Coturnix japonica: one gene and its partners. The protein of the gene in region 5 interacts with the protein of the main gene of each other region in a biochemical or structural test. Links are inferred from orthologs where the notes say so. Each region holds a gene or a part of one and is shown on either strand. Other genes may lie near its edges.

Region 1 (4,218 bases), on a different chromosome or scaffold from region 5:
CTCTTGCTCAGTCTGCTTCTATCTGTGGTCCATTCTTGCAGTTTCCTGTAAATTGGTCAGTAAGAGGAAGCTCTCTCGCTGAAGATAGTTCAACACCTCAACTGAACCAGTGCATTAATACCAGTGAGGTTACTGTAGCATGAGAGACACTTTTTATTCTCTTGCTTTCGGTAAACTTGGCGTAGACGTGGTTACTTTTGACTGCAAGCAAGAGCTGTTATTAACATTGGCGGGGATGACTGACTGTCATTCACAAGCAGTGGTCCTAATGGAGTGAAAATCAAATGTAAAGTTGCTTTTGATGCTATGGTTCTTCTTACATGAGATCTGATAATGTCAGAGAGATGAAGCAACCGCTTTTCGTTGAAATTCTCCCTGAGCTGGGTTGGTGCAAGGCCTCACTGATGTTGTGGGGACAAATAAAGGTCAGTAGTCTGAAAACCATATGCCAGCATTCCTTGCAAAACTGAATTTTGCACTGTGGAGGAGGACTCTTCTGTGACAAACGTGTTAATCAAACCCATTACAGTTTTGCGTCTATTCAGGCTCTGTATTTGTCGTTTTGAAATGCAAACCTTCTGATTAATGTTTGGTCTAGAAAGCTAGGCAGAATTTTCATTCTACTACATGAATGATCATCTGTGAAACATGCAAGCGCTCTTTGGTGGTTTTGGTGTGTGCTTATTCCTCACTACAACACCAGCTTGTGCCTGAGCACATGTGAAGTGGCCTCTGTTCTGATGGTATTCGTTCTCTAAGACCATTTGGACAGTGTTAGAAATCACCAGAAAAATCGAAAGGGGATCTTGGAAGTAGAAATGAAAAACTGTGAGTGCGTATATGAAGAGGGCAGCATCAGAAAGATTAGAATGGAAAAAGTAGTACGTTGGGAGCATACTGAATGTATGAAATATTAATTTAAAATGAGACTGCAGAGCCCAGAGAGCATTGTGTTATGGCTGCAAACTTTGGAAGGGTAAAACCAAGGCTGAAGTGTGTCAGGCTGATGTTTGGAATGGATGTTCTGCAGTGTTACATCTACTTAAGTGCTGTCTCTTTTGATCATAGCTTTTTTTTAAATGAGGTGGAGATACAGGCTGAAGGATAGTAATGCAAGTTTAGGAGAGTATGCCAGATAGCAGAGAGCAATTATAACATAGCAGAGAACAGGGAGAGGAAGGACTGCTTTAAAACACTGTTAATTCTTAATATCAACTGTCTATTTCAATTTAATGGTGCATGGGACGAATTAATTTCATGGAATCACACAATCACCAAGGTTGGAAAAGACCTCCAACAACATCCATTCCAACCGTCCACCTGCCACCAATATTTCCTCACTAAACCATGTCCCTCAGTACGATACCTAAACGTGTCTTGAACACCTCTATACACTCAGTCACGTTTCTGGGCAGCCTGTTCCAGCACCTGACCACTCTTTCTGAGAAGAAACTTTTACTAATGTCCAACTTGAATCTCCCCTATCACGACATGAGGCCATTCCCTCTGGTCCTATCACTAACTACGCAGGAGAGGAGCCAACTCTCACCTCACCACAGCCTCCCTTCAGGGTGCTATTGAGAGCAATAAGGTCTCCCCTGAGCCTCTTCTTCTCCAGACTGAACAATCCCTGTCCTCTCAGCCATTCTCCATAAGACTCGTGCTCCAGATCTCACATACATTCTTTGCCCTTCTCCAGAACTGCTCCAGAGCCTGAGCACACTGTAAGGGAGAAGGGCTACCTTCTTTTTCTCCCATGGGAAAGCAGTTGGTGGGAAGGTGAAGAAGAGGCAAGAGAGCGCTAGAAAATCCCCCACAGTGTGTCTCGCAGTCTCAGAGGCTTGAGGTAACGCACAGTTTGATTTACAGCCTCTGTGGGATATTGGGAAATCTGACAAAGACAGAGCTGCCCACTGACTCTGGGGGGAAACAGGAAGTAACAAAGGAAACAAGTCATTGCCTAGGCGTCCCTTTTGGCCACGCTGCAGTGCAGATGTACAAGCAGTCGGGGCGCAGCTCCTCCTTTGTGTGTACAGTAGTTATCGCTGCCGCTCTCAGCCTTTCCATACACAAAAAGGAGGGGAGCACAGCGATGTTCCTGTCATGCCTGAGAGGGGCTATCAGCTGCTAATGGCTTTGTCCTCACAAAGGAAACTATCATACAGTGAAAGCGTCAGCAGGAAAGCTATGTGTCGACTGGGCACGGTGTCAAGGTGAGTGCGTGTATTTCTGTCATCTGTCCTCTTTTAGGTAGAGAGCAGATTAAAACTAAGAGAAGAAAACTGACTCAAGGAAAAATGCTTTTAACTGCTGCATCTTATGCAGAAAATGGCCAAGGATTGGAGGGGGAAAAACAAAGAGAGAGTTGGTTGGAAACGCTCACCTGATAAGAAAAGCAATTTGAATGGAATGAGCATATTTATAACGTGCACCTCAGTCAGGCTTAGTTCTCTATTCCCTTTGTCCTTTGGATTTATTTCTCCTCAGTGTTCGTGCTACGCTTCATTCTTTTGAGCAACTATTGTGAAAGGGGCTGTTGGGAGTGTTAAGAAATGCGATGTGTAACTCAGAAAAGGGGGAGAAATGTGGCAGAGTATTTCAGAAATACTGGGAATATTTATTAAATAATGGAAACGAGACCTGGATTTTTTGCAGAAAGCAGTTGTACAGATGGTTGGTATGTAGGTGGTTGAACTGGAGAACTCGTTTGTGCTCAGCATTGCAGAGGGCACAGGAGGAAAACTTTTGTTATGTTTTTCTGTATGTGCTGCCTTAGTTCTGGGTTCAGCCTTTTGTGAATGCTTAAACTTCAGTCACCTGCGTTATACCAGGAATGCATTCATTGCTGTAAGTTACACGCATAGTGAGAAGGAAATCCACATCCTGCTGTGCTGGGTTTTACTTTCAAAACAGTATTTAAAGATCGGATATTATGAGATGTTACGGCATTAAAATGTTTCTCAGACATGATTTGCATTGAGACTCTTGTGACAAACCCAGAACAGATTTAACTTTTACTGCAGTTCAGGATACTTGTTTAGTTTTCAGCATGACCAAAGGGCCTCCAGTACTGTCCATAAATATTATTATAACAAGTGAGAACTTTTAAGACAACTTTTGGCAGCTGTAGCTTCAGCAATGAGGTTAATGTGTCTTTAGGCTTATACACTACAAGGCGTGGGGATGATCACGTCTGCTGTATGTTCTGCTGAGGTTCAGCAAGGAACAAGGACTCCTGGCTCTTCTAGGATGCAGTCCTTAGTTGAATCAGCCTGTATCAATTTAATCGGGCTGAATGCCAATAGCTCGTAAGGCCAAAAGGGATAAGCACTCCTTCATAATCTGTTCCAGATGTGTTATGTGGCTGAAGGAGTTCATTCTGATAGTATTTGAGAAAGGTGTATTCATGGGATAGGCTTGGACTGACTTTACTGATACTTCCAGGGTACATTGTGGACTGGCTTGGTCTGCCAAAGTCTGGAAGACCGGTTTGCATGTATGAATTAATTACAGTATTGATTGTATCGTGCTCAATAGTGTTAGCTGCACTGCTCTGTCTCAGCTCTGTTGAGTGATGAAGCAAGTCCTATTAGCTGCTGTTTCAGTGTCTCCCACTATGCTTTAAAGTCTTGTCTCCCACAGAGGCGTAGAGTTGCCGTGGGGGTCATCTGAGAAAGGAAGTGGTGCAAGGCCTTTTGCTGCTGTCATCCTCTGCTGGCTCAGATGGTTCATTTCAATAGTGTTTCAGGGAAGAGAAGGCTGATTTACGAGGCACTTGTGCTGGGTGTGGAACTTGATGGAGAAAATTTATAAACATGTACCTAGTCCCTTGATGACAAGAACGGGAGGAATAAAGTATGTGGTTTTTACTAGAAGATTGCACAAAAGAATTAGCACAGGTATTGTTACCTGGTATCTTGTAACAGAGGGCTGCCATCAGAGAGGGAGGGTAGCCTGGCTCTGATGGCTCTTAGTGGGTCTCTCCTGTTATCTTCCTTGTCTGCTCAGTGGAAGAGGCTTTGGTTATGTACCTTGAGATGAAAATATGTAAGGGGGTCTTTGGCTTGTAGGGCAAGAATATAACAGTATAAAAAAAGGCATCTGGGAAATATCTTTTCATTCTTAATGATCACGGAGCTAATAGGCTCTACAGTGACTTTGGTGCTTGCTGTTGACCATACCTGGTAATGGAGCATTGATCTGTTCCTCACATAATAG
Region 2 (3,500 bases), on a different chromosome or scaffold from region 5:
GTTTGTTCCCCCTGCCTCTACTGAAGATTAAACAGCCTACAAAGATTGAAGACTAAGACTATAAAGGTGAATGCTCTAGAAAAATAGTTTACTCTCGACTGGGGGAGGGTTAGAAAAAGAAATCAAAAATCTAAATAAAGGCACCTTGGCAGACATGCGCTTAGCACCTGCGTGCAAATCCTTAAAGTCCACGTGATTAACAACAGCAACAGAAAAATCAGTATTTTCTTACCTCAGCCATATCTTCAAAACAGCTGCCTACTAACGGATGAGGACTACCTTCATCTGTCATTTCAACAGTGTCTTCTATATGACCCAATAACTTTACACTAAGTTCATGAATGTCTGATATACGACTAAAGATATTTTCAACATCCTGCAAAGAAACAGAAACAGGCAAAAATCAATGAGGAACTGGACATAATTTGAGATACAATGTTATGTACAAAACAACTCTGTTACAATATGAGAATTAAACATTTCCTTAACCAGAACAAGAATTTATAAACAATATTGTGTATATAACTTTTGAAATATAAAATCATAGCATTTATTTTTAAAACAATGACTTTGTATATGTACATATAAAAATAAAAGCATTTACAATGAATTTAATGTGGCAGAGAGCATTGACCAACCTTTAACTCGTCCTTCCTGCAAGTGAACACATAAAATTGAATGGTTTCTTCTACAGAAAGATGTTTCCTCACAAACATTTACAATTCACATTTCAGAACTCAAGGGAAGTGTTTCTCTGCTATGGATGTGTTAAACTGGACAATAGTTAAGTTGTATAAATCTAGATGAGCATTTACAGATTATGTTATATACACATATACTTATTTAAACACAACACTTACATGAGATGAAAATAGTTTGGAGTTGGAGGCATATGGCTCTCTAAAGACTCTGATAATGAGATTAAGTTCCCTTATATATTGCCGGACTTCTGCCATAAATGACTTCACTAGGTCGTAATAGGTTTGCTCCCCTGAAGTGGAGGGCTCCTCGTCAGATAAAGTTAGTGCACTTAAATCTTCTACATCTTGATGGAACATATCCATTAACACCTAGCCAGCAAAGAGGGAGAAAGCCATAAAGTGACAGAACTTCAAGATCTACCAGTAAGTTTTCAGAAAATAAAATTATTTCCATTAAATCAAACTAACCAGCAGCAGTGTTTGTACTTATCGTTCTGCAATTGGTTGAGCATTATGAAAGCAACACGCACTGTTATGAATCTGCAAGTCAATATTTGCAGTGCAAATTTCTGAAGAACCCCATCACTCAGGCCAGTCTTGGCACGTTTCAGAACGTGGTCCTAAAAATCAATCACTGCTCTAAGAGTTCTATGAAGCACGGAGGTGTCAGCATTTAGTAATGTTCTGTAACACTGAATAAGCCTACACAACCTAAGATTCTAAAGATGCAATATTATGGAGAAGCACGTGCGTTTCGGCTCTTCACCTTTGGCTTTAACAGAAAGCCATTTGTGACTTGAACTCAGAACCCCGTTACCTGTGATGAATACCAGCTCCTCAGTTCTTCTGAACTGGAATCACTTAGAGAATTCAGAAGCACGAGCAGACAGTCAAATAAAAATAGCTTGCATTCTAATGCAGGTGATGGTTTTTTGTGTGCGGTTTTGTTTGCTCTGTGGTTTTTTTGTTGTTGTTTCTTTCTTTTTTTAAACAAAGTAGAATTTTTCAGATAGCCAGGTGGCACCAACAGAAGTGTGAAAGCATTTGGAAAGGAGACAGAAGATGACAAACTTTTGGTTGTTTTGTTAAAAAAAGAAAAGCAGAATGCGCACACTGACAGCAGGAACCTAAAGGTCCTTGATGCGGCTGGAAAAGAAAACAGCGTGGAAATACCTGCCAATGGCTTATTCCACTGAGCCAGTAAATCAACATGCCCACTTCAGAGCTCCCAAAAGCTTCTTCTACACTTACTCCAGTGTACTAGTGCCTAATGCACTTTCCCAATTAGCCTCTTTAACCCATCAGCCATCCCTGCCCAGGATACAGAGACACATGCAGCAACAGCACTGTTCCTATTCTATATTCAAGCACACAGCTCCAAACACCGCTGTAACAGCCCAGGAGGGTGCATCCAAAAGACCAAACGACCAAGACAACTGTCCTGACTAATAATTCACTCACACAACCTCACTAATAATTCAGCCTCACACAACACCTTTCTTTCCTCTTGAGATGAAGATGGAAGCAAGATGGAAAAAAAACTCAAGCGTGAACAAGACAAAAGCATTCCTTGAAGAAGAGGCAAGTCCAACCAAAGATACTGAAAGCATCCACTGGACTGCAGCAATATGAGCATCTCTCGAGACCCATCTGTTAAAGGACTAACTTCAGGCTTTGGTTTTTTAAACGGAAAACTCAAGATGCTGATGAGGTGGCCATAGAAACCAGAGTGCGAAGGCACCTGAAACGCAACAGCCTGTTCTCCAGCACTGCTGGATCACTGGGTAAAGAGGTAACTACTGTCTGAATCTAATGACTCTTCTGAAACCAGAGGAAAGAAGACCTGGCAATAAAAGTATGGATGCCTACAGAGAAACAGAGATGCCTACGTTTGTCTGTTTTTAACTTGAGCACAGAAACACTGCAATACGGTCTTATTTTGGGAAAGTACCCATGCTTCAATTCAGCCTTCTTTTTTCTAAGATACAAAGAAGAAAAGCAGGAGCTACTATTAATGCCAATGAATGTGAAATGTTGAAGTCTTTGCTGCTTCACAACTTTTAAAGCATTCACACATTGCTGGGATTAGGCAAGCAATATCAAAAGAAAGAGACACTTAACTGTAAATAAGCACGAGTAACAGCTCTGCAACTCAATTAGCTTTCAGATAGTTTTGTTGCATTACTGGAACAATATTTTACTGCAGCAATTTCTTCATACAACACTGCTTACTCAATAAGGAATAGATAGACAAGTCCTCTTAAAATTCAACTTCAATGCTCTTTTAACATGAAAAACAAGAGTTAAGCTTACCTTATCAGCACACATTGCCACTTTAATATCTTGTTTTGTAATTTCATAATGCCTTATATTTCGTACATAATTCCCAACCAATTTCAGTATGTCTGCAGAAATGTATTCTAATACTGCCACTATGTAAACAGACACTTGGTGGTCGATTTTGTAACCTAGAACCTCCTGAAAGGAAAAAAAAAACCAACACGAAACATCCTATGTTATTCAGGTGTCAAAATATACGATTTGTAACTGTAACCTATGGTGCAAGTTTAAGACTCTACTTGACATTGGCAACATACAGTCTATTTTAGCAACAGTAATGCAACAGTCTGTGGGTCAAGTAAATAAACAGCAACACTGTAGATGCTGCTCTATCAGCTACATTAGTGACCACAGTGAACTGTCCCAGAAGCCTTGCTTGAAAGGTTTCTTGCTTGCACTCTCTAGTGGATAAAGAAAGCCATGTGCTCATTTGCTACAAATTTGGTTATTATTTCGCAT
Region 3 (3,500 bases), on a different chromosome or scaffold from region 5:
CTTGGCTCCATCCCCACAGCCCCAGGGTTCATTGAACAGCCACGAGCTTCCCCTGCTGCCCCGTTCCCAGGCTCCCGGCTCTCCCCCTCCCCACATCATGACTCTGCCCTTGGGGCAGCTGAGCCCAGGGCAGCGTGGCAGAATGGTGCCCATCCCCTATTGGTGCCCATCCCCTATTTATGATGTACTGTCTGTGGGCCCAGCGCTGAATAAAGGATGGAGGTAAACGTGGCTCCTCTTCCCCTGTGTCCCTGCAGAGCATGGGGGGGATCCAGGCAATGAAAGCAGGATTAGGGCAGCTGCCCCATTCTTGGCTATCAGGGCTTTCCCTGCAGTGAGAGCAGCAGATGGAGGAGATGGGAGCAAACCACGCAGACAAAGTGGAGTAGAAAAAAAACCATCTACAATGATGAAATATACATCCAGGTGACACTGTCAGCTTAACGGGAACCCAGCAGGAGCCCAGGCAGCCCCGTGTCCACCTGCTCAGTGCAAGTCAATGTGTCCAGCGCTGCTGGGCGCCGGTGGGGAGGGGGCTGGGGGCACAGGGGTGGTGGGGGGCTCTGGGACAGCAGCAGCGTGGTCCAGGTGTATCCAGGGTGTATACAGGTGTATATAGGTGTATGGTGATGGGGAGCAGGGTGATGGGGCTCCCGGTCCTGTTGATGCTGCTCTTCTTCCTCCAGGAACCGTGTGGGGTTGGAGCATCCATCTCAGTGGGGCTTTGGGGCTCCTTTTGGGGGTCCTCTGTGCCCCCCCCTGTGCTGCTGCGCCGTCTCACAGTGCTCTATGCTCTCCTGCAGTATAGGGCACCCCCATGATTGGGGACAGTCCTGCCCCCACATCCATCGCCGGCCTCGTGCCGTCCCTCCCCAAGCTGCCTCGGTGAAAGGGGGGGGTCCGTATGTGGCCCTGCCCTACACAGCCACGTCCTCAGGCTCAGCCAAACCCAGGTACTCCGGGTTCTCAGCTGCTGGCGTGGAGCTGGGCCCACCCTCAGGGCTCCCAGCTTTGGGGGGGTCCTGGTTCCAGTAGTAGGGGTTGTCGAAGGCCTGGCTGAAGGCTGTGGGGACCGGCAGCCCCGGGGGGGCCAGGTACTCGGGGTTCTCCACGGCGTGGCCAAAGGGCCCCAGGAAGGGATGCTTGGTGTCCTTGATGAGCCCGTTCTTGCCTTGGTGGCCCTTGGGCTTGTCTGGTGGGGATGGTGGTGCACAGGGGAGCCGGGGGGGTGACGGCAGCTCCCCAGCCTGATTCACGTACTCTGCAGGGAAAAGGGATGTCAGCAGCCAAACAGGGTCCTTGCCCCCCTCCCCAGGGTCCTATATTGCCCTACCTGGCATAGTGGTATGTGGGGCTGGGGTGGTGAAGCCCTCAGGGTCCAGACCTTCACTCTCATCCCCCGGCAGCGCGGTGGGGTCCTCACTGTACCGTGTGGCTGGGGGGCTCGGCAGGGCTCCCTTGGCCCCAACATCCACCTCCAGAGCCTCCGACACGGGGCACTCTGACCCCTCCACCAGGTTCTGCGGTGGGAAGGGGAAGGCGGCTGATTCCTCCCCCTCTGTCGTGTCAGCTGGGGTCTCTGCTGTGCTCTGAGGAGGCAAAGGGCACGGAGTCGGGCACGGTGCTGTGGGGTCTATAGGGTCTGTGGGTGGCATTAGAGAACTTGCACCCTGTGCGCCCTGCAGCAGCACGATGCCCCAGGTCAGCCCTTACCCGCGTGGAGGAGATACGGCTGCGGTACGCGGTGGAGGTCTCAGCACTGAAGAAGCCCTGGTGAGGGACCAGGTATTCCTCAGCATCCACCAGGTCGTCCATGTCCTCCTCCTCCAGCAGCGCCCGGTAGAAGGTGCTGTCCATGTTGCTGGGCAGCCCGATCATGTCGTTCTGGGGGTCAGGGGGGGCTGTCAGTGCCCGTTGGGGCAATGCTGAAGGCGAGACCCCCCTGAGACCCCATTACCTGGATGACCACAAAGCGCTGGGGGTCGCGGGCCATGCGGGAGAACTCGGTGACCAGCTCACGGAACTTGGGCCGGCACTCGGAGTCGATCATCCAGCCTGGGGCAGAGCCGAGCACCGTGAGGGCGGCGTTGGGGTCCTGGCCCCCACGTCCCCATGTCCCCCCCACTCACATTTCACCATGATCATATAGACATCGATGGTACAGATGGGCGGCTGCGGCAGCCGCTCGCCTTTCTCCAGCAGGTCGGGGATCTCTCGTGCCGGGATCCCATCGTAAGGTTTCGCCCCGAAGGTCATCAGCTCCCACACGGTGACACCTGAGGACATGGGGATGTGGGGTAAGTGCTGGTTTGGGACCCCCTGCCCCCCACAGCCACCATAGGGACGCACCGTAGCTCCAGACATCGCTCTGGTGGGTGAAGCGCCGGCGCAGGATGGACTCCAACGCCATCCACTTGATGGGGACCTGGGTGGGTGGGAGGAGTGAGCGGGACCCTCAGGGGACACCGCGCTCCCTGTTGCCCCGTCCCCATGTCCCACCTTGCCCCCATCTGCGTGGTACTCGGTCTCATCGATATCCAGCAGCCGTGCCAGCCCGAAGTCGGTGATTTTGACATGGTTGGGGCTCTTGACCAGGACGTTGCGAGCAGCCAGGTCACGGTGCACCAGCCTCACCTCCTCCAGGTAGCTCATCCCCTGGGCAGCAGGCGTTAAGCCCCACATCTACATCCCCCCCACAGCCCCTCAGCAGCCCCCTCTCTTACCTTGGCGATCTGCACACACCAGTTGAGCAGGTCCTGGGATCCGATGCGGTCTTTGTTCTCCCTCACATAGTCCAACAAGCAGCCGTAGGGCATCAGCTGCGTCACCAGCTGCACCGTGGAGGTCAGGCAGATGCCCAGCAGCCTCGACACGTAGGGGCTGCCCACCCCGGCCATCACATAGGCTTCCTGCAGGCAGCACAGATAGGTCAGGTTGGCACCGACTCCCCAGCCCCGTGCCCACCTCCCCTGCACTCACATCCAGGATCTCCTTGTTGGCTTTGGGTGATGTGTTCTCCCGCAACACCTTGATGGCCACCGGGATCTTCACGCTCTCCCCATCGGGGATCCAGATGCCCTATGGGGGGTGGGGGGGCGGTGAGTGAGGACACAGATGGTGCCATCCCACTGACTGTGCCTCCCACCCCTCACCTTATAGACAGTGCCGAAAGCGCCGGAGCCCAAAACCTTCACTTTCTTCAGCTCCGTCTCCTTGAGGATGCGCATCTGTGCTTGGTTGGGGAGGGCCCCGCTGGGCGTCAGCGGCTCCACCAGCTGCGAGGGACAAGTGGGTGAGGAGGGACAACACTCTGAGCCCCCCCCAGGGTCATCCAGCCCCCCCACCTCAGTCTCCTGCAGCAGCCGCCTCATGGTGTGTTTCCTCTCCTGCTGCCGCCGGCGCTTGACGCAGACGACGGTGATGAGCAGAAGGACGACGACCAGCAGAGCCCCCACCACACCAGCAATGATGGATGTCACCTGGCTGCAGGACGGGAGGTG
Region 4 (3,500 bases), on a different chromosome or scaffold from region 5:
TCTTACTGTTTAAGACTGCAGCTTTTACTCTGCAGAAAGCAGCATGACTTCCAGGCTGTGCCACGTCTGCAGGTTCTGAATGGGTCCCATTCAGAACTCTGTACACGTACCACGTTTGAACTGTCAGATGTAATTATGTGCTTTATTGCAGGGATGCAGTTTTGTTACTGCAGATTTCCACAAGTGCTAAGAGAAGTAAGAGAGAAAATTTGTTTTGTTAATTGTGCTGTTGTTTGTTTGTTTGTTTGTTTTCCTTAAATGACAGTCAGTTCTTTTTCCTACTAAAGCTCTAAATTCTTGTTTTAAACAGTGGCATTCCTGGAGGATTTCCCATCCTACCATCCCTTTTCCACATACAGTCACAACATTCCAGTGAATTGCTTCTCTGTTGGTAAGTGAAGAAGTCTCTGTTTCCCTCAGAGTCTCAATAACCATGGTTATAATAAAATGGTGCTATTAGTTGACTATAACTTCAGAAATGCCAAGACACCTGGGCATCTTTTCCATAACATCTGGGCTCACTTACTAGCACTTCATACACCACTACAGCCTCCTATCAGGAAACTTATTCTGTGAAAATGCAGATATGATCGTAAAAAACACATCGTGTTGGAGACTTTCAAGTTCAAGTATTTGTATATCTGATCTGAACAGAGGTGTCTTCCTGCCCTCAGATCAAGCAACCAGTTTAACTGTGATCACATGGATTTGACAGACCAGACAACTTTTCAAATTTCTGCAGTATTTTTAGCATCACCAAAACATCTCACACATGCTCTGATGCATCAGAAAAACTAAAGAAGACTATGTCTCTTAGCAAGATCAAGATATGCATAGAAGGAGAGAGCCTGGAACTGGGAAGTGAACAAAACAGAAATAGCCATTTTTGTATGACTTGAGCTCCTCTTCCCTTGCTTTGTTTATAAGACCATGAAGAGCTCCAAGTCTCTCATCATTAGAAGCAAAGAAAATCAATTTAACACTGATCCAAACCTTCCAATCTGATTTATCTTTATCACCCACCTTGATGAAAAAGCAAACAAAGAAAAATACTTTAACTCCTCAACTCACAATGAGTTAAAATAACTTTTAATGTAAAGTGATGTGGCTTTACTTACGGCACTCGGAGTTTGGGAAATTTCTGGATATCATTTTCAGACATGTTCTGCAAAAGAAGCATACAGTATAGATCACAAACACGTGCTTTTTGTTAATATATATATATATTTCTAAAAACTTAGGGGTAGAGTAGAATGTTCCCTGTGCTACTGAAGTGAAGCAATTTGATTGCAGGTTCCTAATAGCCTGAGTTGAGATGTGCTAAGCACTGGCAGCTTTACTGATGCTCCTGCAAAGAGTGTTGGCCTCTCTATCCTTCCACCCTGTTGCGCCACTCCAGATATAGGATGGATAAACACAGTGGGCTAACTTTTGAGGAATTGTTTTGTTTAGTCAATCAAAAGCTTTGCTTTGGAACTTGGATGATAGGCATGTTCTGTCTGTCTTTCTTACTGCCAGCAGTAATTAGTTTCTATTCACATATTGGTTTAAAATGGCATCAATGTTTTTAAAGGCACAACAAATCTTAGCTGTGTTTTCCAGCACTGTTGTGCTTCTGAGTACATTTGTAGGAGTAAACTAAAGCAAAAATATATTTCCTTTATGGAAACGTCCTGCAGGATTTACTGAAGCATCTTGTTTTTTTCTAAAGACCTTTTAAGCTTCTCACTGGAACTCTATTGTGGCAATAAACCTGACAAATGTTACGGGGTAAAACTCTCATAAATGGCAATTTTGCCCTTTTAAATCTTGGGGAATTTTATTGAAGTAAGTTATGTGGAATCCCTCTGGTTTTATTTCTACTGCATCTCAACTGGAACATTTCTGTAGTAGCCAGTAGATACAGAAACATGACTTTGAATCTAGCAGGTTATTCTAGTGGATAAGATAGCCTTATTTCTGCAGTCAGTTTTACCAAGTAGCTCTGACAGTAGACCCAAAACCTGCATACAACTCATGCTAATAGTTTCTTGTGTTGAAATATAATTTGGCAGTTTCCAATAATTCAGACATGAAAAGATGTTTCTTAGAAACGCCATCCATAGAGAGAAAAAAAAACCCCAACACGATTGCATTGCAGGCTAGAATATTCCACTTGTTTTTAACAAATGAATATTTTTTATGCTATAAATATAACAAGTAGGTCAGAAGCGTAACAACATTCATCTTAGAAGAGCTGAGGAGATGCTTGTTTCTGAAAACATACTGCACTCTACGTCATTTATTTGCAGAAGTGCTTTGGAAATAATACATAACATTATTATTATTATTATTATTATTATTATTATTATTATTATTATTATTATTATTATTATTATTATTATTATCAACTTTTGTCAAATTAGGTCAAGTTCTTGATACAGCTTGGGCTAATGCTGATTTAGACCCAATGACACGTTCCATATTAGTTTCTGTGTTATTATTGATCACTGAATATATGTTTTGCTACAGAAGAAACCTGATTTTGACTATAGAGGCACAAAATAGTGACTGCTGCAGAAAGCTGGCCGTTCTAATCATGTCCATGCCTTTTTTAGTAGAAGACTACTAGCAGGAGATTATGGAGCTCGGGAACATGATTTAGCAGTGGGTTGTTAGGGTAAGGGTAGTATGGTTAGATCGAGGTTGTACTTGATGATCTTTCTAACATGAGCAGTTTTAAGACAGTTAATAAATATTAGGTTTCTGTAGTTAGTATTTGAAAACAAGTATTTCCTATAAAGGAAGGGATGAATTCAAGACAAAATGAAACAACATGCTTGAGTTCCCAGAATTCTGGACTTACAGCAAAATGTCTGGCTGATCTTTACTTCTCATACTTAAGTAACAATCTATGAACTGACTATCAGTTCAAAGGAAAGAAGAATCAAAACAGCCATTGGATTCAGGGAATTTTACAAACTCTACTTACCAAAAACCTCTGTCCATTTATACTGTGCTTTCTCACAACTTTCTCACAGTCCTTATACCTTAACTGTCAATAAGAAGAATATTATTATTATTACATTGTAATTATAAGAAACAAAAATACTTAAAAATACTTAAAATGCTTACAGCTAACTATGAGTAGGTGCTTCATGTTATGCTGTTGCGTGCTAACACCTATTACCTGATCCATCTTAGGAATCCCAGTAGTTCACAAAATCCTCACTGTGATAACGTTATAAAACAAAGCTGCAGCTCATGACCTCACTTAGATTTTATTACTTTTTGTTTTTAAACACCCTGGACTACCTGAATTGCTCTTTTTTTTTTTTTTTTCCTGTAAATGTGTGTTGTGTTTTTTTAAACAACGATCCTTCAGTGGACCTGAATACTCCCATTCCTTGGGAATGGGAACACTAAATTCCCCACATTCTAAACCACCTTCCAGTTTCCTGTTCCAATAAAAAGATCTGGAAAGTGGATGAGGAGGTTGTAGTACTGAATACAATGAACAG
Region 5 (3,293 bases):
TTTGAGTTGGTCACCTTGGCAGCCGGGAGAGGCAGGAAATAGTTTTTACTTTTGGTAAAGGTTTTAAAGAAGAAAACAAAACAAAAAGTGAAGCTGCCTGTGACTGTGGGCTGTGGCTGTGACTCGGGCTGGGGTAGCTTGCACTGCTATGGACTTTACTGCTCTCATTCCGAGGGCACGAACTCCCTGTAGCAACAATGCCACTTCTGAGAAGTGAACGGCAAGTTTCCCTTCCTTTTGTATATGTGAACGTGAGGGTGGGAGAGGGAAAGAGCTTGCTTGTACAGTTTGTTGAAATGAAACCAGACATTTTTGGTTGTTCCTAAATAAAGAGTGTAAAATACAAATGAGAGTCAGCTGGTGATTGCGGGGCTGCATCCCCACATTGCAGCCCTACCCCACTGCCACTTCTCACCCCCCACCCCAGCTGTAACCATGGGGCTGCTCCTGCTCACTCATCCCAGCAAGGAGAATGGCAAGGGCAGCAAAATGAGACAGCGTGCATGTAATACTGACACGTTTATTGGAGTTTAAGCTACAAGTGGGGCCTGCAGCCCCCAGCCCAGTGCACACCAATACAGCAGAGGGGTGGCGGGTCGTATGTGCAGAGGTTTTGTCTCTCACCCCAGCAGCTGTTGGGCTGTGCACATCCCTGCACGTCATTAAGGGTTTGTCGGTGAAGGTGGGTGGGTGGGTGTTTGGGTGGTTCTTTTGGTTGTTTATTATTATTTTTTTCCCAATTTTTTTTTAGTTCTCCGCTCAAACACACTTCAGCGGAGAAACTGGAAAAGCTGCCTGAAAGTAGGCCATAGCAGTGCCGTTTCAATAGAAACCAGTTCGCAGCGTGCCGTGAGATCCACAGGCACGGGAGGTGCTTCCAGCCAGCCCTACAGCCGGTTGTCCCCGTTGACTCTGGTCCTTCGCAGCACCCTATGGGGACAACAGAGGGGATGCAGTGTTGGAGCAGTGCTTCCAGGTCCTGTGCTGCATCCCACCACTCTGAGATTTCTATTTCCAGCTCCTATGCCCATGCCTGAATAGCACAGAGGCATGGAGGGATGGAAGAGCTCACAGCTCCCCCCATGCATCCCACACTATGCATCTCATCACCCCCCACCCCAATCAGTGAACCCCCAACAAGCCTTACCCTCACTTCCCAGCTTAATTTAGGGCTTCCAGAAAGCAGACAAGGCTACGACTCAGCTCTATCAGGATGCTGCATTTCACAGCCTGCCCCCCAAGGACCCTCCCCAGTGCCCACCTTCGCTCCCGGCTCTCAAAGTGCTCCGCCAGCTGCTCCTGTGACACTCGGAAGTCTTCAAATGGCTGCTGGTACCGCACCTCGAAGGAGCCCTCCCTGGCTCTGCTGGCCAGCAGCTGGCTGGCCATGTCCCCACCTCGCTCCCGCAGCACGGAGCCACCAAAGAGGCTGATGTCACCATTCTCCTGCTTGGGTCAGAGCAAAGAGCAGTGAAGGGGTTGAGATGGTGCAGAGCTATAGACAGGGCTGCCCTGGGCCATACAGCTAATCTATAGTGTCCCAGGCTTCCAGGTACTGGAAGCTCCATCATGGGATCCCACCAAAATGGACTCATAGGTTGGAAAACAGCCCTGAGATCACTAAGTCCAACCACCAACTGGACCTCCCCGCTTCTAAGCCGCATCTATTGCCACAGCTGCACCCCCTGAACTATCTGCAGGGACACACCACCCAGGGCAACCCATTCCAGTGCATGATTTTAGGTGAAGAAATCAAAGAATCTCCTTCTGCATGGCCCTGAGCCCTGGGGACTGGATGGGAGCAGGAGTCAGGACAGCACAGCTGTGCACTGGAGGATGGGTACAGCAATGCCTCACCTTGCTGGGGAAGATGTCAATCTTGACGAGCAGGGAAGCCAGCTCCAGGTTCTCACTGTAGTTGTTCTTCAGGGGTACGGCTCGGAACCCTGCGGCACACACAGCCCCACGCTATTTGCAGCACAGCTCCTTGACTGCCCCGTGCTCAGCAAATGGATGAGCACCAACACGGCACACACAGCAGCTCTGAGCCCTTACCGGTCTTCAAGCCTTTCACCAGGAAAGTCGCCTGTGCCAGGAAGTTCTCATCACTGAACATGTCCTCCTCATACACCACGAAGCGGAGGAAGGCGAACTCAGGGTTGCTGACCTGGAAGTGGAACTGCTTTGGGCTCCAGAGGGGGTTCAGGCCGTTGTCCGCTGTGCACAGAACACTGCAGTGAGAGGGCAGCCCCAGCACTGCTTTGCTCCTTCCACCCTTAAAGGTGGAAGCAGAGCCCCCAGCCCCATCTCCTCCCTTTGGTGTGAGGGTGTCTGAGCACCACGGCCAGCCCTCCCCACTCTGCTGCCAAGCCCCTGATAAGCACTGCAGCCAGCACAAAGGCTGCATCTGGGGGGAAACCAGCCCACCCATGCCACCTCTCCTTCCACACTCACCCACAATCTCTGTTTTCTGCTTCGCGTTGTCATACTCTGCCCCAGACACCTCCACCTCCACAAAAGGACACACGATTCCTCTGCCATTTTTGGGGAGGTGCCGGGCCCCCAGGACCTGGGGAACAGAGACTGAGTGAAGGGTGGGAGCCAAGGAAAAGACTTGTTTGCATACACAAACTTGCTGTCTGAGTAACTCCCCCCTGGGCTGCACTAAGCAGAGGTAGGAGAGATGCTGACACCTGGAGGGAAGCAGCTCTCAGATGTAGAACTGCTGCATATCACCAGTTTGTAGTTTAGCCTGAAGCCAGCAGCTCAGCTGCCCGCAGTCCTGCTGCAGCTGCACAGCCCAGCTGTGACCATGGCATCACTCCCCTAAGCTGGACCTTGGCACTGGGCACCCATGGCTTCATCAGAACTTCTCGCTCCCATCACTTTGGCTGGAGGAAGCTGTTCCTCCCCTCTGCCTGCAGCAGTGGGTGCTCAGCACAGAGGACAACCTGCTTCCTCACAGCACAGCTCCCCGCTCCTCCTGCCAAGAGCCATATGTCACTGGAGCAGGGGAAGGAGGCTCTGCCAGCACCGCATCACATGCTTTGAGTCATGCTGTGCTCCAGGCAGCTTCTCCATCCATGAAAGCTGGTGTTGGCTGGGGACAGCGGGCAGCTTTGAGCTCATCTCTTCAAGGAGACGGCTGTGGCATGGGGTCCCTTGATGCCTGGAGGCTGCAGCTTCACCCCGAGATGCAGGAAGAGTTTGAGGGGCAGCGCTTTGGTAAATGGAAGTCACAGAGAAATGGTGTTAGGGATTTCTAGGGAGTTATCATATGGATAATGCCAATG
Region 6 (3,500 bases), on a different chromosome or scaffold from region 5:
CAGCTCCTGCGGATTCTGGGCTTCATAGTCATATATGGCCATGACTAAGGTTTCCTTTGTGTTTAGCAACGATTTCTATACCAATTAGGAAAAAGGCTCATCATATTCATGTTTATAAATATCAATGGCATGCTCTCTGAAATGATATTCCCCTGACAACACTGGTGTGCTCTGTACAGCCTGCTGGGCTCAGTACCTCAAGGCGAGGAGAGCACCCCAGGAGCTTGTGAAGTTACACTGGCAACGTGGCATTTTAAGCATTATCAAGCAATGGTTTTCATACATAATTCCACATGCACAGAAAACAGTTGTCTAGTTCTTCTTTAAGGCATCGGGCAGAATCAATCCTTTCTGATCTGATTTTCACAGTTGTTTCCTAAACTACCATTAAAAGATGCCAGTGATAAAATCTCCTTGCTCTTCTTAGATGGACATAACAACCTCACAGCTCCTCACTTCTTACTGTGACTTTTTCCACCCACAAGTGGGTTTGGAAAGCTGCTTTACTAAGGACAGCATTGTATGCCTTGATGCACTCACCCAGTTATCTTCAGGAGTGGGAGGAAGAGGCTTCTTTGAGGCTGAAATGAAATCAAGAAAGCTAATTTGAATCAGATATAGACAAACCCTACAGAAATAGAACAGCAAGCCTTGGTTGTTTAGAGTAAGATGCACCAACAGCTGCACCTGCACGGGGACTCTCAGCAACATAACACGGGTTTGAAACTGATGTGCAGATTGTATAGGGAATCGCAGAAATACAAGGGGGGGAAAAGTCTTCAGTGTAAAATGATTGACTTCCCTATCTGCCAGCATTACTTTGATGTTTATACTACAGAGGAAATATGGGAAGGACAAAATAGATTGAATCTTTTACTTTTTTCTAGGAATAAATACTTTCAGGGTCAAGATTCTCTTAACGAAAACTCATACCGGTTTTGGTGGGGTCATACTCTAAACAGCCAACTGCCATCTTCTCTGTCTGAGCACAGCATCTCCACTTGCCATCTATCCAGAAATCTGGATGGTACTTTGAGACCAAACTGTTGTTGCTCCTGGTTTCTGGAAAGAGTTAGAGTAAGAGAAAAAAGGAGGAAAAAGTGGATTTGTTTGTACTGACATAATCTCTGAAAGGCACATAGAACTGAACAGAAATAATCTGCACGTAAGGACCTTATTTTCTTTTTCGAACCATTATTCTTCGTGAATATTATTAGCCTCCTCTATTTCTCTCTTCAAACTGTTAAACACCAAAACCACAGAAAGAACAATTCAAAAACAGAAAGAAAACCTGGTACACCAGGTACTGATGATTCTCATAGCAAACTGCATCTCTGCAGGATGTATAAACGTAGGACACAGACTCTGCTGCTTTGGCTCAGTGTTCAGAGGGAGATGGACCAGTTGGGATTCACCAGCTCTAAATATTTTTGCACATGTAGATGCCAGCTGTGAATCTCTGTATGAGCAATCAAAGGTCCTTCTGTTTGAAACTATTTGCCATAATAATTCTCTTGAAAAGAATAAAGAAAAAAAGGAGAAAAAAATGATCCTGGCCTGTTTCTACTTGGTCAAGTCAAATAAAATTGTTGTTGATCACTCAGATTGTCTCAACATGCTGAACTAGAGGAGGCGATAAAACAAAAACTTGGAACAGGTACACCCTCAAAGGGGAATAACTGACTGTAAGACTAAGCTTAATAATAACACAAACAGGCTCAATGTTTTCAAAGTGAACTAAACATCAGCTCACGCTACAAAGGAGGAGAAAGCTATGAGGGAATAAGGGTGCAATTTTCATGTAACTAAACAACCTTTTCCTTCTGCACCCAGCGGTTAGTTATTGTACCTTCACTTCAGAATCATTGTAATGAACCACAGAACAATTCAAGAAGCGAACAGGAAATGAAAGCTACCCACAGAAATGTTTCTTAATAATCATGATTCTCTCAGAAGGTTGTCATCTAAACAAAGTAGCTATTAATCAGTGATGAGAAATCTTCTACCCAGAAAATATTAAGTGTTATATGCCGAAGTTTTCTAAAGCTTTTGAAAACACACCCACAACATCTGCAAATGTATTTGACTCCATAGCTGCGTTCTCAGTGACCACTTTGCTTGGTTAGATGTAAGAAAACAACTTCTCTTGTATGTTTTCTTGGCATTTTAGCTGTGGAGAAAAATGACCTGGGATAAGAAACTTCAACAATTAAGTAGGCTTAGGGGTTCTGTTACCTTCCTTCAGTGTAAAGACCCATCTCTGCCGGCTCTCACGATTGGGTGCGAACACGTAGAGGATGTAGTTATCATGGACAATCTGTAGATGGGAATAAAGATGGGAACCAGCCATTAGAAACAATCCTGGGTGTACTGGGCATGGTGGAACCATGGAAAGAAACAGGCAGTAACCCCCATATCAAGTACGTAAATCCCTGAAAAACAATGCTGTGTACAAGTGGAGTATATAGCGCCTGTTCAGAGGTATCCCATAACCTCAGTGCCTTTTACTTATCTAAAACTGAGTACAAAACTCAATCAAGAAAGAATTTTAGATGAGCAATTTTATTTTAAATCAATTTTTTGTTGAAATGACAGTTAAACCAATGGAAACATTACAACTTCAGTCTGCACAGAAGCCAGCCCACTGCATGCTGGCTATAGCCTGTTCTTCTGAAGCACCTACGAGAAAATTACTTAAGTTTCTCAGCTCTTTCTCTTAAATCACCTTCACTTAAAATATAAGAGCCAAATTTATCTTTTCTGGTCAATATGAATTCCAAGCAATGCCCCCGGGATTCACTGTACTACTATCACTCTAGAGTTTTTGATAGCTTTCACTAGGGTTATGGTGGGGAAATAAGAAACTAGAGCAGATGAGCAATGAGCATTCAGGATGCTGGTTTCATAAACGTGCCCTTAGTGATGAACAAATGACAGAAGAGAAATACAGAACATTCGTGAAGTTTCAGACTCAGGAGTGAAATCATCACAGGAACAAAAATGACTCAGAAACTTAATCAGATGACTACGTTTGGGCCTAAAATGTGATGTAACACATAATCTATGTTTCTTTTCCAATATTTATCCAAGAATTTATACCCAAATGAGACCCGATCTCTTTGATGCACAATCACTTTGAAAAAGCTTCAACCAATATCTTTAAACAGAGTTTTCTGTTTAAAGACAGCATCTGTTTTTTTCAGAGCTTAAAGCAGTGTAGATGAGGCAACGTTAATAACCGTTCAAATGATAGGAAGCATTTGCTATCTCTTGGCCTGATGCCCCTGCAGGCACACACAGACAGCTATGTGATTCAGTTGCTTTGTAGGCTATAGAGAGATAAATCATAACCTCTGTTTAAGAAAAAAAAAAAAAAAAAGGGGGGCAATAATTCCCACTCATTTTAAGACATTCTTGTGTCATTGTTTGTCAACATTTGTTCCTTCTCCCATCCATGCTTAACCAGGAAAGCTGCATTGTAATGTGGGAAGGGAAGAAAG
Region 7 (3,500 bases), on a different chromosome or scaffold from region 5:
GTATAGTAACAGTATATGCTGCAAACACGCTATTGCAATGCTTTAGCAGTAATAGTCCTTTCTCTGGGCATGGGCTCATATAGAGGAGCACCGAGATTTCTGCATGTGCACAAAACCCTAGATACTCATTTCTGAATTCTTCCCACTTGACAATGAATGTCATCATCTGAAGTATCAGTAACGTATTTGCAGTGCTGTAGTTTGGGTCTAGAAATATCATTTGGACTCCTTTTAGAACATGGCATTTCTTCTGTTCTCCATGCATGCAGTCATTTGTGTTGTGAATTCACTTCCCTAGCTGGGATTTTTGAGGTGAGAGCAATGGCAACCTTAGCTATCCTTTGCCATCTTGAATGAGTGCGGATCACAATCAGAAGGGGGAATTTTCTCAGTGTAGAACTCCATGTTGCTCCTTTTGACTACTACTTGACAAAGGCTGAAATTCATGCAGTCATGGTTAGGAAACCACTCTAGGACCAGCATGGTGAAGCATTATGGCCATGGTAAGAGAGAGTGTGTATGATGTAGTTTTGAAAGGCTTGCCTGTGCAACCAGCAGCATTCAGGTATCATTCATTCTTGTTTCAACATGGAGTTATCAACTTGGAAGTCTTGGAAGCAGTAAGGTCAGTCCTGTGATGAAATGAAGAGATTGAAGCCACCTCAGCAGAACCTTGGTTACCACGTAGTGTGACCCTGGGTGGGCTACCAACATTGCTGAAATGGATGGATTTGATCTACTTGGCTCAGAAAGAGTTTCTTTTGGTATTTTGATTCAACTACTGCAAATATTTTTTTTTCCTTTCAAAAAGGGAAGTCGGAGCAGGTTGATCCCTCAAAGAGATAAAAATAATGTCCTCTTTTCAGTGGTGTGTAATATGCTCATCATTTAGGTATGAAACACAAACTGCACAACAACATAACATACTATTTCAAATAGCAGAGTAACTGCAAAAGGTCAGTCAGGTGTGGGTGGGACAGACGCTGATCTAATCATGTGTCCTGACTTGGCCTTGTTGTCACTGGGAACTTTGCATAAATAGCTGGGATCTAGCTTCTGCTGTTTACAAGTCTGGCTCAGGCATGTAATCAGCAGAAAGCAATCAAACAGGTAAAACAGGATTCATAATCAGGGGGATATCTTCATGTAAACACAAATCGATGCTGAAGCATTTGCTGAAGGATGTGAGAGACTCTGTGCAGAAAGACTTCAGATTCGAACACATTTAGCAATTGCATATGCTAATCTAAAACAATACTAAATTGCTAAAGTAAAATGTAGTCAGTCATAGAGAGTGTTACACAAAGTGGGGAAGGAAAGAGCTCTGAAATTAGGAGCCAAAGGGAAAATTACAACTTGACAAGCAGTGAGCTGAACTGAGTTACAATTAAGAAATTGTACAAATCTCCAGAGTGGCAAGTTACCATGCATCTAACAATTAGTGGAGGAATCTTCCAGCTATTATCTGAGTTTAATGCAAAATAATATCTGGCTAAATGTATAGTCAACAAAATTCTGTCTGTGCAGGTGGGGCTTATGCTGCAAAGAGAAACCTGGTTGTGGTGTTAGAGGTTACATGAAGCTCTGTGTTCTTCCTGTCATTGCTGTATGCACTGGACAAATGAGCAGTCACTGTGGTGCTATGGAAAGATTCAGTCCAGTCCAGAAAATGGGGCTGTGGAAGGAAATGTATTTCTGTGCTGGTAGAAAATAATACCTATTAAATGTTAGTTTTTAAACATCTGCCTTCCTGTGCTAATCATGAAGAAATCGGTAATAAAAAGCAGCTGAACCCACAATGTTGTTATACAGAGCACTGAGCTGAAAGAGAATTGACCTCTCTCAAATCTTTGCTGTGTTCAGAATCAGCGTTGATAAGAGCTGAAAATCAGTTCAGATATGGTGAAATGAGAAGTTCAGGGCATCATTAAGAGAAGACTGGAGGTGCTGGGACGTAGCACAGAGTTGTGTGGTGTTGTGACACTACCTGACACACATCGTATACCTAAACACACAGTTACAATTTCACAATTCAATCTTGTTGATAGGAGCTTAGGAAAGCTGAATTTCTTACAATCCATGAATGCTAAGACTGTGCGAGATACTGCCTGCTATCAAAAAAGTTCTACTCCAAATGAGTAATGCTGAAAACCCGTCTCAACATTTTGCAACAGTGTTTGGTTCTGGGTGGTTTGCATAAGACACAGCATGTGGATTTGGAAATGAAAGAACATTCAGTTCTTGTAACATGACTCATGAGGAGATGCTACGTTATTGAGAGTGTACGTGTGTTTTATTGCCTCCAATTTAATCAGCAAGTAGAATATTCATTAAAAACGGTGTGCAGTCTTGGCACGTGGATTTTATCTGAAATAAGTTGCATTCTTCCACAGTTGTCAATGCAGTCTCACAACTTCCTACAGTGTTAGAAGCTCATCTTAGATCTTTGTAAAGTTATATTAATGGTTAATGGACTATTAATTTGTGCCAAGTGAGCGACATCTGTGGCATATAGTCTGGCTTTGCCATTAATGCCTTTTTTAATTTTTTATTTTTAATTTGCAAGGAAGCTAATATAGCTGTGGCTTCTAATTCTAGTTCTCCAATAAATAAATCTTTCTAATATCTTCCAGAGCCATGTAGGTGTTGTCCTTGCCTGAAGGCCTGTGACATTGGGCTACGCCTGCAAAGTCCACCTAATTGCTTTCCCATCATACTTACCACAGCAGCTCCGAACTGCATGCAGCACCAGCCTCAGTACAGAGACAAGGAATGCAGCGTCATAGCATGGGGCACCAGCTGGCTGCCTTGCTTTGTAAACTACCAGAGCAATCAGAAATTACAGCTTGGGCAGCTAATACAGACAGCCAAATATTAGCTTCCTCCACATGTGGCATTTCAGATGGTGAGCCTGTTAGGCCAGTGTTTTACTGGGACGCGTGCCCTCTGTGGGACAGGGATACGCATTGGTTGTATTGTACTGCAGTTTGTTTCCTGACTGTGGTGGTAATGTTTAATGGAGGGCAGATGCAGGAGAGGTGCAGTTTGACACACAGCTGTGGAGAAACTGACCTTGTTAGAAGCTGGTGAAATTCCTCTGCGAGAACTGGAACTGCCTTCTTATTTAAAACACATACTTTGTTCTGTACAGCTTGTGGCTCTGCTGGTTTAGGATCTTTCATCAGATCAAAAGTATGGAGGAGGTAAGGAAATCCAATGGAAGCATTCAGTGTAAGAACAGAGATTTTCACAGCTTGTCAGTGTTGCGGGACCATGGGAAGTTCAGTTCCCCTGACTCTATGGGTAATAACACACTCCAGTTACTGGAGTGATGAGCATGCGGCAATGCGAATTGTGTGCTCCTTTAACATGATACTCTCATTTGTGTGTGTTGCAGCAAAACCAGAGATCCTTACCTTGGATATACTCAGTAATGGCATTCTTCAGTGTGTGGCAGCTGGATTCCCAGCCCCTACCATTTACTGGTATTTTTGCCCAGG

What was found.
Region 1: the proteins of PLCG1 (region 5) and SH3BP2 form a complex in vitro, tested with the Homo sapiens proteins (2 studies listed by BioGRID, with this or other methods). The link is inferred for Coturnix japonica from reciprocal best matches to the Homo sapiens genes PLCG1 and SH3BP2.
Region 2: the proteins of PLCG1 (region 5) and SOS1 form a complex in vitro, tested with the Homo sapiens proteins (2 studies listed by BioGRID and IntAct, with this or other methods). The link is inferred for Coturnix japonica from reciprocal best matches to the Homo sapiens genes PLCG1 and SOS1.
Region 3: the proteins of PLCG1 (region 5) and ERBB2 form a complex in vitro, tested with the Homo sapiens proteins (2 studies listed by BioGRID and IntAct, with this or other methods). The link is inferred for Coturnix japonica from reciprocal best matches to the Homo sapiens genes PLCG1 and ERBB2.
Region 4: the proteins of PLCG1 (region 5) and LCP2 form a complex in vitro, tested with the Homo sapiens proteins (2 studies listed by BioGRID). The link is inferred for Coturnix japonica from reciprocal best matches to the Homo sapiens genes PLCG1 and LCP2.
Region 6: the proteins of PLCG1 (region 5) and ITK form a complex in vitro, tested with the Homo sapiens proteins (2 studies listed by BioGRID, with this or other methods). The link is inferred for Coturnix japonica from reciprocal best matches to the Homo sapiens genes PLCG1 and ITK.
Region 7: the proteins of PLCG1 (region 5) and KIT form a complex in vitro, tested with the Homo sapiens proteins (3 studies listed by BioGRID and IntAct, with this or other methods). The link is inferred for Coturnix japonica from reciprocal best matches to the Homo sapiens genes PLCG1 and KIT.

The regions. Positions count from the first base shown.
Region 1 is NC_029519.1:74,770,848-74,775,065, reverse strand, and holds the start of SH3BP2 (SH3 domain-binding protein 2), read left to right. Parts: upstream 1-1,418; 5' UTR 1,419-2,103; coding exon 2,104-2,213; intron 2,214-4,218. UniProt on the Homo sapiens protein: Binds differentially to the SH3 domains of certain proteins of signal transduction pathways. Binds to phosphatidylinositols; linking the hemopoietic tyrosine kinase fes to the cytoplasmic membrane in a phosphorylation dependent mechanism.
Region 2 is NC_029518.1:14,489,699-14,493,198, forward strand, and holds part of SOS1 (son of sevenless homolog 1), read right to left. Parts: intron 3,180-3,500; coding exon 3,015-3,179; intron 1,071-3,014; coding exon 861-1,070; intron 377-860; coding exon 233-376; intron 1-232.
Region 3 is NC_029542.1:3,928,568-3,932,067, reverse strand, and holds the end of ERBB2 (receptor tyrosine-protein kinase erbB-2), read right to left. Parts: intron 3,484-3,500; coding exon 3,345-3,483; intron 3,276-3,344; coding exon 3,153-3,275; intron 3,079-3,152; coding exon 2,980-3,078; intron 2,910-2,979; coding exon 2,724-2,909; intron 2,656-2,723; coding exon 2,500-2,655; intron 2,426-2,499; coding exon 2,350-2,425; intron 2,277-2,349; coding exon 2,130-2,276; intron 2,056-2,129; coding exon 1,958-2,055; intron 1,885-1,957; coding exon 1,714-1,884; intron 1,590-1,713; coding exon 1,334-1,589; intron 1,262-1,333; coding exon 918-1,261; 3' UTR 382-917; downstream 1-381. UniProt on the Homo sapiens protein: Protein tyrosine kinase that is part of several cell surface receptor complexes, but that apparently needs a coreceptor for ligand binding. Essential component of a neuregulin-receptor complex, although neuregulins do not interact with it alone.
Region 4 is NC_029528.1:13,171,958-13,175,457, forward strand, and holds part of LCP2 (lymphocyte cytosolic protein 2), read right to left. Parts: intron 3,035-3,500; coding exon 2,972-3,034; intron 1,166-2,971; coding exon 1,119-1,165; intron 392-1,118; exon of another isoform or gene 135-391; intron 1-134. UniProt on the Homo sapiens protein: Adapter protein primarily involved in signaling pathways within T-cells, as well as other immune cells such as platelets, mast cells, and natural killer (NK) cells.
Region 5 is NC_029535.1:4,220,520-4,223,812, reverse strand, and holds the end of PLCG1 (1-phosphatidylinositol 4,5-bisphosphate phosphodiesterase gamma-1), read right to left. Parts: intron 2,570-3,293; coding exon 2,455-2,569; intron 2,218-2,454; coding exon 2,056-2,217; intron 1,947-2,055; coding exon 1,858-1,946; intron 1,450-1,857; coding exon 1,262-1,449; intron 931-1,261; coding exon 888-930; 3' UTR 501-887; downstream 1-500. UniProt on the Homo sapiens protein: Mediates the production of the second messenger molecules diacylglycerol (DAG) and inositol 1,4,5-trisphosphate (IP3). Plays an important role in the regulation of intracellular signaling cascades.
Region 6 is NC_029528.1:13,136,375-13,139,874, forward strand, and holds part of ITK (tyrosine-protein kinase ITK/TSK), read right to left. Parts: intron 2,318-3,500; coding exon 2,236-2,317; intron 1,063-2,235; coding exon 934-1,062; intron 582-933; coding exon 541-581; intron 76-540; coding exon 1-75. UniProt on the Homo sapiens protein: Tyrosine kinase that plays an essential role in regulation of the adaptive immune response. Regulates the development, function and differentiation of conventional T-cells and nonconventional NKT-cells.
Region 7 is NC_029519.1:58,899,032-58,902,531, reverse strand, and holds part of KIT (mast/stem cell growth factor receptor Kit), read left to right. Parts: intron 1-3,397; coding exon 3,398-3,500. UniProt on the Homo sapiens protein: Tyrosine-protein kinase that acts as a cell-surface receptor for the cytokine KITLG/SCF and plays an essential role in the regulation of cell survival and proliferation, hematopoiesis, stem cell maintenance, gametogenesis, mast cell development, migration and function, and in melanogenesis.